Nothobranchius furzeri: one gene and its partners. The protein of the gene in region 1 interacts with the protein of each later gene in a pairwise test. Links are inferred from orthologs where the notes say so. Each region holds a gene or a part of one and is shown in the gene's direction. Other genes may lie near its edges. The genes, in order: lrp2b, C-Jun-amino-terminal kinase-interacting protein 1 and mapk8ip2.

Region 1 (3,756 bases):
GCATGAGCAATAAGTAAAGAGAGATGAGAGAGGAGCTGTGGTGCATGAAAAGGTCCGGAGTGGCGGAGAAGCGTTAGAGTGGTGCAGAACATGCATGAGAGCAGTGAGACAGCAGTGAAGTGCTGTAGGACTTAGGGTCTACAGAGCAACAGAGGGGGTGGAAAAGAGATGAAGAAGCATGTGGTGCAGGTTGGATGGAGAAAAGTGTCAGGAGTGATAAAAGGTTTCTGCAAGAATGAAAGGAAAGATGTAGAAAACAGCTGTGAGAGCAGCCATATTGTCTGGTTTAGAGACAGTGTCCATGAGGACAAGACAGAAGACAGAGCTCAAGATGTTGAGGTTCTCTTTGGGAGTGACGACGATGAATAGGATCTAATCTGAGTCCATCAGAGGGGCAGCTCATGTTAAATGTTCTGGAGATAAAGTCAGAGAGGCAAGACTGAGACGGTTTGGACATTTCCAGAGGAGAGACAATGACGAAATAGGACAAGAAGCTAGTAGACATGTTTTTATTTGATTAGCCATGGGATAGTAAAGGTTTTTTGACTATTTTCATCCTCCTGAGTGCCTAAGATCCAATTCTTTTTTGTATTGCTTGTATCCCTGAACTAAAGAGCACCAGAGGTACTCACAACCACTTCACACCCTGGAAGCACTCCATGCATTTTTGATGTTCATGCCTTAAAACATGTTTATTATATGTGGAGGTTTAGGTAAAATTAAACCTATAGTTCAAAGGTCAGTACTGTGTAAATGACAAACCTGGGTGTATCAGCCGGGCCCTTCATGTATCTACCAATATCTAATACACTGATCTAATGACCATCTAGCATCTTCTAGTTCACGTGGAAGCCAAAGATCTTAGGGGTCAGTTTTAGGATGCAAAGATTTCCATTCTATGAATTAAATGATTAACCCTTTTCACAAAAAAAAAAAAAAAAAAATATCAGTGATTTTGTTCTTATATCTTTGTTCTTTTTATCTACTTTTCAGATTTGCTTAAAAATCCAATTATTTTGTTTTAAAACATTTATGCAACCATACAGATTTTAAATGAGAGGTCAGAAATTAACTCATGACTCTGATGTAAAATTGTCATTAAATTATGTTTAATTTCAACAAAAAAAACGTATTCAACTTTTGTCTGTATCCAAACTATTTCAGACACTATTATATTTAATCTGACTTAAACCTTTCACATTCACCTTCTTGCCTCAAAAATACACCAACGTGTTTTTGCTGACGTGGACCACACATCCACAGGTAAAAGTTAATCTTAGATGAAGTTTATGTAAAACAGCAAGTCATAAAAACCTGTATAACTCTGTGTCACATTACTGATCTGCTGGTTGGTTGGGGTCAAGCATCTCAGTTCCAAAGTCGTTATCTCCTCCACGATCATTTGGGTTTGGGAGAGCCGTGGGTGCAGAGGGAACATGAGAGCTCAGAGCTGATCAAACTAACACCAGAGCTGAGAAACACTGGAGACGGAACGTGAAGGTTCAGTTATGGGCCTAAAAGGGCTTCATGTTTTGTCTTTACTGCTGCTGACCCAAGGATTTCATCTTGTACAAGGTATGTGTTTCCTTGTGTTTTTGCTGTATTCTAAAGCAAATATGGGTCAAATAAAAGAATAGGAGCTCTGAGCGATGGCCAGTGATGGCTGCAGGATAAATTCATGCTTTCTTCATCCTATTTGTTGACCAAAAACAACTTTGTGCATCAACATCATGGTATCATGACAACATTTGCTTTAAAGTTTAAACCAACTCAAAACTTATAGATTTAAATGGGAGTAAATTTTCTGTGCAGTCAGATACAAATAAACTACACGGGGTAAGTTAGAAGGTTGTGATAATCTGTAGAAGTTATAAACTGCAGTAATCTTAGATGGAAGCACACTTTATCAATATTAATTTACACTGATCTGTATGAAAATGTCTGCAATGTTTCTTTTGTTTTTGTCTCTCTGCTTTCCCAAACTGAAAACAAGTAATCCTGATGAATAATCTCTATAAATATAAATAAATCTGAATCCCAGAGTTATAAAAGCACATTTGTTCTTGAAATCTGGTCTGAGAGTTTAATATATTTCAGGATCACAAGATCGTGTCAATTCAAGGTGAAGAATTAACTATTCTTTAAAGACCAGATCACATGCCACAAGTTTCAGATACTGCACAAGAAGCAACTTTAACTGTCATAAACATGGTCGCTCACTCGTAAAACATAGGAAAATATGTGATGTTTTTACTGAGGTGACACGGACATCAAACATTTAATTTAATGCTATAAATTCTGTAATAAAACACTTTGTGACCTGGGCAAGTTCAGCAGCTTTGATATTGGATCTTGGTGCACAATTATTAAAAAAGAAACACATTTAGATTATATTTCTTATTGTTTTAAAATAATGTTCAAATGCTAAAATATTGTAAATGATAAATATCTGTTGATTTTTTTTTTCTGGTGTCATCTCTAAAGGCCATTTTCTACCAAACACAAAAACTAACTTAGGAGTTTTAAAAAAAGCTTATTTAGAAAATATATATTTTACTTGAAAGAAAAACTTGAATGAAGTTCAGCTCACACCATGCCCATCAAAAAATGAGTATAATTAAATGTCTGAGGGTTTTTTTTTTTTGCAGGAAGCTGTGGCATTAATGAGTTTCAGTGCACCAATGGTCAGTGCATTAGCAAAGAATGGCGATGTGATGGAACTAAAGACTGTACAGACGACTCAGATGAGCTCAACTGTCGTAAGTATTATAACCATCTGCAATATAGATGGCATCATTCTCAACACGAGCTAAAAATGTCAATTTTAAACAAAATACAATTGATAAGAGCTAAAAGTTTAAATTGAAAGTCACCTGACTAGCAGTTAAGTGATGTAAGGTGAATGAATATTGATTAAAAAATCACTTGTTTTGCTATTTTGTGGCAGCACCTCCATCCTGCACTTCACAGGAATTTAAGTGTGTGACAAGTGGAGAGTGCATCTCATCAGGGTTTGTCTGCGATGGGGAGGAGGACTGCGTCGATGGCTCAGATGAACAGAGAACCTGCGGTAAAATACACAAACCAAAGATTTTATTATGTTTTCTAAAGTGTTAAAATGTATGTTTACAATAATTTCTATCATATTGGTAAAAGGAATTAAATAACTGTAGATATTTTAGCTGAAATGTTTTAGAATCCACTAGATGGCAACATCGCCTCAGAAGTAACTATCTGTTAAACTAGAACGTGTCATATGTGCAAATAAAATGATTGCCATGATTGCAGTTATTTGCTGCCATAAGACTCGTGTTGAGATGATTTGCACCTGTCCTTTAAAGATATGTTCTTGTAGTTTTTGAACACAAATGCATGTGGTTTTCTAGACTCATTTCATGGTAGTAATAAAGACTTTAGTAAGAGTTGTGGAGAACATTTTAACTAAGTTCTGAAAAGTTTAGGTCATCCTATAGGTACGTCCCAAGCCATAACACATTCATTAAAACATATTAATTATGACCAATAAGATGTGATGATTCCATATAAATATGAAATATCAATCTGATTCATCTTTGAATGTTTAATCAGAAGATTCTAGGGTTCTTTGCTTCATCAGGGACCATAAACACACTTCGTATTAATTCAGACAGTCAGTACATAGTTTATAAAATGAATTTAATTATTTTTCCCAAACTAACATTTTATACATGACAAGATATGAATAATGAGATGTGATGTGGTGGATGTGAGATGTTG
Region 2 (3,656 bases), on another chromosome or scaffold:
TGGTATCTGATGCCCACCGTAAAACGGACATTTGACTGAATTGTGACCTTTACCCTCTTGCAATTTAACCTTCCTCTCAACCCCATCCTAACCTTAACCAGCTTCCACATGCAAAACTCTGATCGTTGACGCGCTCCAGACATCTGCGTCCTGAGCACGGCCACAGTAACATTATCAAATTAGGTGTCGCCACCTCAAAAACAAATGTAACATGCGATTGTTCATGTCGGCTCATTTCCTTTAATGTTTTCTGTCTTTTATTTGTGCCTGATGCTTTTCACTGCTGTGGAGCGGAGCGCATCACCTGTTCAGTCCTCCGGTGATGTACCGCACTGGTGCGGCCGGCGCGCAGCGCGCACTTCGCTGTTTTTGCGGTCGGTAGATCTTTTAGAACTGCAGTTCAAAGGTAACTCATGAGGTGAATATATATGAACCCAGGTAGCAGTTTTTCTTTAGGATTGAGAGGAGATGCAGGACGATAATAAACAGGCAGGACAGAAAAATAGTTAAATAAAATCAAGTTAGTTTTTGTACCTGGTGGTTGCAACAAACAGACACCATTGAAGGTAATCAGAAGTGAGGAACAGAAAATGATATAATTTTTTTAATGTTTAGAGCAGCAGAAACTCTGAGAGGCTGCAGGCGCATCAGTGAGTTTGCGGCCGCTGCGCAGGGGGAGGGGGGAGATGGCTGAAGCAGAAACTACCGTTGTTAAAAGTGATGTGTTTAACTTAGAAAATGTGGGCGCAATTTCAGTTGTCAAAAACTCCAACGAACCAACCCAACCCACACACACCTCAGATTGCTGTAAAAGCGGTGAGATGGGTGGCGCACACAAAAAGCCTGGGACAATTATTACTATAACTGATGAGACCTGCAAATATTGGTCAGGACAAATTTATAAAAGAGGAGAAAAGAAAAGAAACAGCGCTACAGAAAGTTGAGGAAATGAGTGAAAACAGGACAGGCAGCAAGATTTGGACACATTTTAACTACAGTGACAATTAAAAGGCAGAGTGTGGCATATGCAAAGAGAAAATATATCCAACAGGCTCTAATGGTTCAAAGTTAATAAATGTTTTACGTCGAGTTTAGTATTGTCATTTAAAATGTGTTTTTGTAGCTCTCTGCTTTGTGTTGAATAAAATAACTTATCTAAATAATGAATAGTTGATATAATATATTGTAGATCAGTAATTAAGTTTAGTCCGTTTTGTATAATTTCTGGTAATAAGTTAATTTAAGAAAAAAAACATGAGAAGCCGTTTGAGAGCCAAAGGAGCCGGTTGATTTAAGTGAGCCGTAAGAACCGGTTCTCTTGGAGGAGCTCATACCTATTTGCTTTAGTTAAATCTAGGTGAAACCTTCTTTGGCCAGACAGTTTAGGCTACCTTGAATGCATTTCCTCATTCTCTTAATGCTAATCTGTTCCCTTTTTTATTTAATCTTATGTTTTTGCTTCATAAAAAAGCAAATCAATTACATCTGCAATCACTTAAATCATGTTTTAATCTAAATGATTTTAGGAAGCATTTCTCTGTTTTATTTGCATCTCAAAGCCTCCAATTTTTAGTTGTGCCGCTTGCAGCGATGTCCCGACCCAAACTCTAGGAACCACTGGTAGTTTTCTGTGATGTCAGACATCTCTGCTGTGTCTAGAAGATGAAAAATACACTAACTTGATTTCCTGTCAATGGATTATGACGTAATATGTGACATAATTCAGCATTCACCTCATCCTTGCTCTGATTTGGGTGTGTAAAGGGATTTAACTGTGTAATCCTGACATTACCTAACCATTGCTACTCTTTCTGCTCTGTGTTTTTGTTCGGTGTCATGCCTTTTCATCCTCATGGCTGCTGGTGTATTTCTCTGTCTCCATCATGTGTGTTTACCTCTGTGTGTCTGGCCTCTCTTTATGCTTGTGTGTCTGTGTGTTTGTTTGTGTTGCCATCTCCATGGTTTTGCTTGTGTCTGCTCTTTCTTTAGGTGACCTCACACCTCCACGTGAGCACAGCTGTCTGGGCGATCAGGACAAGGTGCAGCTTGGGGGAGCACAGACCAAAGACTGCGGGACATCCACCGACGCCCCCTGCAGACACGGCCACACGTCGGGTCATTCGCATGGCTCGAGTGCAGGGGCCGTGACGCGCTGCAAGCTACAAGAGAAGCCTCCTCAACCTCCACCACCACAGAACTACACACCAGCTCCTCTGTACCCGGCGGGTAAAGCCGATAGTATTGCTCACCATCGGGAACGGATTCAGTACCAAAAAGATGTTCATTTGGAGCCTACAGAGGAGATTTACCTGACTCCAGTGCAGCGTTCCGCTGACCTCTTAGAGCCCGCTAACACACAGGACCGACCTTTCCTCTCACAGCAGACTGAACAAGGACGCATGTCCATAAGCTCTGATACAGAGGGACCACCTCCTTATCAGCCCCTTCCAGACAGGACAAACCCCTCCATCTATGAAGAGGATGAACTTTATGTCCCTCCACCTTCATACGCTTCCTGTGTAGAGTCTCTCATCACACCTCCTGGCATGGCTGTTTCACCTAACTCGTCTCTTGCCCTGGACCTCAGCTTGAAAGCGACAGGGGCCATGCTTCGAGCTGGCTCTTCTGTCGAGTATGTGGATGCCACAGATGACAGCTATTGTGGAGAGGATGAGGATGTAGACAGGATAATAATGGCCCAAAGAATGACAAAGGGGGGAGGGAAGGGAGACAGTGGTGGTGTCAGCAAATCTGTCCCACTAAGGACTACCATGAGCTCAGAGGCCAGCAGCTTAACATATGACTCAGTCAAATACACACTGGTGGTAGATGAGCATGCTCAGCTAGAGCTCATCAGTCTCCGACAGTGTTACCAAGGCTACAGTGATGACAGCGACTCGGCCACCGTCTATGACAACTGCGTCTCCTCGCCCTACGAATCAGCCATTGGGGAGGAGTACGAGGAAGAGGATGAGGATCAAGACTCTCGGACAGGAGGGGTGCAGAGGGAGGCAACAGCTTGCCTTTCTGAAGACTCCACTTCTGAGGAAGACCTGCATTTCTCCAAAAAGTTCCTGAACGTCTTCATGAATGGGCGCTCTCACTCCTCAAGTAAGTTCCTGTCATTTTTACAATCAACCTGCTGCAAATAACAAAAACTCCGCCTCAGACCTTTGAGAGCAGAATAAATGCAAAGGGACTGAGTTGGCAAATGTTTTGTTTTACTTAGTTTTTATGTAAATGAATCAGAACACATGCAAATGAGACTAACACAGCCCTACTGGTTTACAAAGAGTCATTTGTTCATGTTTACCCAATGAAAAACATTGTTTTAGTTATGAATATTTTATCATTTGTGTGCTGTTTCCAAAAAGCATATCTACACCACTGATTATTATTAGAGATTTTTTTTTTCAGTCGAGGCAAGATGTATTAGGACTTTGTAAATACTCTGCTTGCAACATGTTTTAGAATGTTGCAAGCAGGATGTATTACATCTGTGGTGAAAGTAAGAACTTGCATTCAGTGATTTCCCTCTAATAGCGATATTTGCAGTAGCGTGGGCTGCGGGAGTGAGCGGTAGGAGAGCGGAACGGCTGGAGGGCTGGCAGATGTGGACTCAGGAGTTCATCCAAGGGGTTGTGATTGCTCAAAAT
Region 3 (3,191 bases), on another chromosome or scaffold:
AGCGGCCCGCCAACTTTGAAGTCATAAGTCCGGGTCATTTATCATTAATCCTGCGAGTCATTTTAGCTAATTTCTCAAGAAAATAATAAGAAATATGAAGATGTTGCAAAGTAGCCCTTTAAGTAAAAATGTGCAAATTTTATCATGTGTCATTCACAGCCGAGTAATCTACTAATGTTTAGGTAATGATTGTGGGTTCTCTCTCTCTCTCTCTCTCTCTCTCTCTCTCTCTCTCTCTCTCTCTCTCTCTCTCTCTGTCTCTCTCTCTCTCTCTCTCTCTCTCTCTCTCTCTCTCTCTCTCTCTCTCTCTCTCTCTCTCTCTCTCTCTCTCTCTCTCTCTCTCTCTCTCTCTCTCTCTGTGTGTGTGTGTGTGTGTGTGTGTGTGTGTGTGTGTGTGTGTGTGTGTGTCCTGCAGCAGTAGTGCATCACTAATTAGATAAGGGAGGAAGGCAGATGTTCTGGTTCCAGCTAGACTTGAGAGCTGCTGGGTGGCTAACAATAATCTGATCAGAAACCACCTGTGCCCATTGTTGGGGTTATTAGGAAGCGAATAATTTGTAAGCTTTTGCTTACTTTTGGATTCTTCAATAAATTCTGTAAATATGGGAATATTTACGGATGTATTAATTAATTAAGATACAATTAGGTATCGTCGGGGCACCACCCATTCTAATTAGAAAGGGAAATGAATCCAAAATTATTATCAGTCTATCTGAAATGTCCGTGGAATCCTAGGAGCAGAGATTTTCAGTCAACACAAAAAGTCACTTGAGACAAAAATCTGAATTTTATAACATTTAATTAAACAGGGATTAATAATGTAAAACAATTTGATATAATTGAAGATGTGTGTGTATGAAATCAGACCATGTGTGTGTGTGTGTGTAATCAAATGTGTGTGTGTGAATGAAGGGCGTATGAATGGGTCTTTGTTTTCCCAGGTGCGCGGGGAGTGTGTGTCCTTGGGATGTGCTGTAAGCTGTGACAAAACTCTCTCAGATGCAGACAAAGGAATTAGCTTGCATTTAGTGGCTTAAAAATTACAGTGTAACTGAACTTAAACACTTCAAAAGTTAACAAAACAACAAAGGTCACTCGTAAATTATTTAATCTAAACAGAGTCGATGCAGCCTGGCCACAGCTGACCGACAAACCCAGGTTAAATAAATAATAAACAAAAGATCTTACTTCACGGTAGATGTATGACATATTTGGTTACGAAAAAGAGAAAAACCGGAGCTACTTTTAAGCAATAGCGCGGTGTTATTGCTTGTTTGTGAACTATAAGAAAGGGGAAAGATAAGAGAGGAGATAAAATAAAGTCAAACTCTTGCGTGAGCGAACCAAAGGCGTCCCTTTGTTCTTTCGCGTTGCAGGTCATTGTTTCTCCGCACAAGTGTTTCTCCAACTGGCTGGACACAAAGAGAGCAAAGTTTCGCTTCGTGCTGACTTTATAACTTACAGCGTCTCCGTGAGCTTGTTGGAGCTCCGCTCGTTTCCAGCCAGGTTCTGATGGTTTCGGAGTTGCTTTTCCAGCGGCTCGGTGTTCGCACTCTTCAGCCCCCAGGCCTCGTGCACACGTTATTCGGGCCGTAGTCAGCGATCGTGTCCTTACAGCCAGTGATACTGGGCAAAAGAACGCTAAGTTTCGTTTTTAGCTGAAATGTATAACTTTCAGCTGGTTGTTGTTGTTGTTCGTGCTCCGCCTTGGCAGTGACGTCATCACATTGCTTCCGTGTGCCAAGCATCATGGGAAATGAAGTATCTCTGGCGCTGATGGTGGAATATGCTCGTTCAGAGCAATTTTTAGCACAGTCTTAGGAGAAAATCACTGCACAGTAATTTCCTTATGAGGGCAGACCCTCAACACCATGTTCTTGCAAACACACACACACACACACACACACACACACACACACACACACACACACACACACACACACACACACACACACACACACACACACACACACACACAAAATACTAGGACATTCACTGCTTCAAACTGACATCTTGAGGTCTTTTCCCTTCTGAATCAGTAGAATGGGGATGCTTTTATGCCTTTTATGCCATCCAAATGCACACTATTAACAAGATGTTGCTGCTTTCTGCAGGTTTATTCCCAGACATGCAGATGAGCTGGAGCTAGATGTAGATGATCCTCTCTTTGTGGAGGAAGAGGAGGATGATTATTGGTACAGAGGCTACAACATGCGGACAGGAGAGAAAGGGATCTTTCCTGGTTTCTACGCCCAAGAGGTCATAAGCCAGTTGAAAGAGTTGCAGGGTGAGTGGAGAGAAACTGCTTTTTGTCCCTTTCACCTGAGAATTCTCCCCTCCAAAAATGACGTGTTCTGTCTGACCGCTCAGGCCTAAAAAGGAATCCAGCATGGATCGAGACGTTCAGTGTTCAGTTTTTGGGGTCCGTAGAGGTGCCATATCACCAAGGCAATGGCATCCTCTGTGCCGCAATGCAAAAGGTAAGAAGCAGGGAAAATGTTAAAGCAAATGTAGTGATTCAAAACAACGCCACACCTTCTACATACCTGGCTCAGGTGTGAACTCAGGTCATGTGTGAAGCATGCGCTTTTTTTGTTTCCGTCTGTTAGATTGCGATATCGAGGAAACGTACGGTGCATGTGCGACCTCCATCCCTGTGTGAGCTGGAGATCAGCTTGCAAGGAGTTAAACTGATCATGAGCCTGGAGGACGACTATGACACCCTTGATGAGGTAACGATTAGTAAATCAATGAATCAGTTTGCCCTTTTAGTATAATATTACCTCTCTAGGGATTTGAACCTGAGATCTGCTCCATCCCTAGTACGACAGGTGTAGCCACTTCTTCCAGATGAAGAACATCTCCTTCTGCGGATGCCATCCGAGAAATAACTGGTAACCAAACCAGCCTTTTGGCCCTCGTGTTCCTTCTGAACATTGTGATATCTGACTGATTGCATCATTGATTTCTTCTCCCTGCAGCTACTTTGGCTTCATCACCAAGCATCCAATGCTGAATAGATTTGCTTGCCATGTGTTTGTATCCCAGGAATCCATGCGGCCTGTGGCTGAATGTGTCGGGTTCGTTCAGATTATTAGAATAATACTTACTTAGAATTTAAATCTGTTGTTATATAGAAATGCATCTGGCACAGCCACATCCCTTATTGTCAATGCCTAAAATCATCTAAA

Evidence for each region.
Region 2: the proteins of lrp2b (region 1) and C-Jun-amino-terminal kinase-interacting protein 1 interact in a two-hybrid assay, tested with the Homo sapiens proteins (2 studies listed by BioGRID). The link is inferred for Nothobranchius furzeri from reciprocal best matches to the Homo sapiens genes LRP2 and MAPK8IP1.
Region 3: the proteins of lrp2b (region 1) and mapk8ip2 interact in a two-hybrid assay, tested with the Homo sapiens proteins (2 studies listed by BioGRID). The link is inferred for Nothobranchius furzeri from reciprocal best matches to the Homo sapiens genes LRP2 and MAPK8IP2.

Annotation. Positions count from the first base shown.
Region 1 is NC_091756.1:35,644,839-35,648,594, reverse strand, and holds the start of lrp2b (low-density lipoprotein receptor-related protein 2), read left to right. Parts: upstream 1-1,346; 5' UTR 1,347-1,508; coding exon 1,509-1,575; intron 1,576-2,648; coding exon 2,649-2,759; intron 2,760-2,947; coding exon 2,948-3,070; intron 3,071-3,756. UniProt on the Homo sapiens protein: Multiligand endocytic receptor. Acts together with CUBN to mediate endocytosis of high-density lipoproteins. Mediates receptor-mediated uptake of polybasic drugs such as aprotinin, aminoglycosides and polymyxin B.
Region 2 is NC_091749.1:49,773,075-49,776,730, forward strand, and holds part of C-Jun-amino-terminal kinase-interacting protein 1, read left to right. Parts: intron 1-1,989; coding exon 1,990-3,111; intron 3,112-3,656. UniProt on the Homo sapiens protein: The JNK-interacting protein (JIP) group of scaffold proteins selectively mediates JNK signaling by aggregating specific components of the MAPK cascade to form a functional JNK signaling module. Required for JNK activation in response to excitotoxic stress.
Region 3 is NC_091744.1:72,512,063-72,515,253, reverse strand, and holds part of mapk8ip2 (C-Jun-amino-terminal kinase-interacting protein 2), read left to right. Parts: intron 1-2,114; coding exon 2,115-2,287; intron 2,288-2,370; coding exon 2,371-2,480; intron 2,481-2,609; coding exon 2,610-2,732; intron 2,733-2,823; coding exon 2,824-2,894; intron 2,895-2,981; coding exon 2,982-3,080; intron 3,081-3,191. UniProt on the Homo sapiens protein: The JNK-interacting protein (JIP) group of scaffold proteins selectively mediates JNK signaling by aggregating specific components of the MAPK cascade to form a functional JNK signaling module.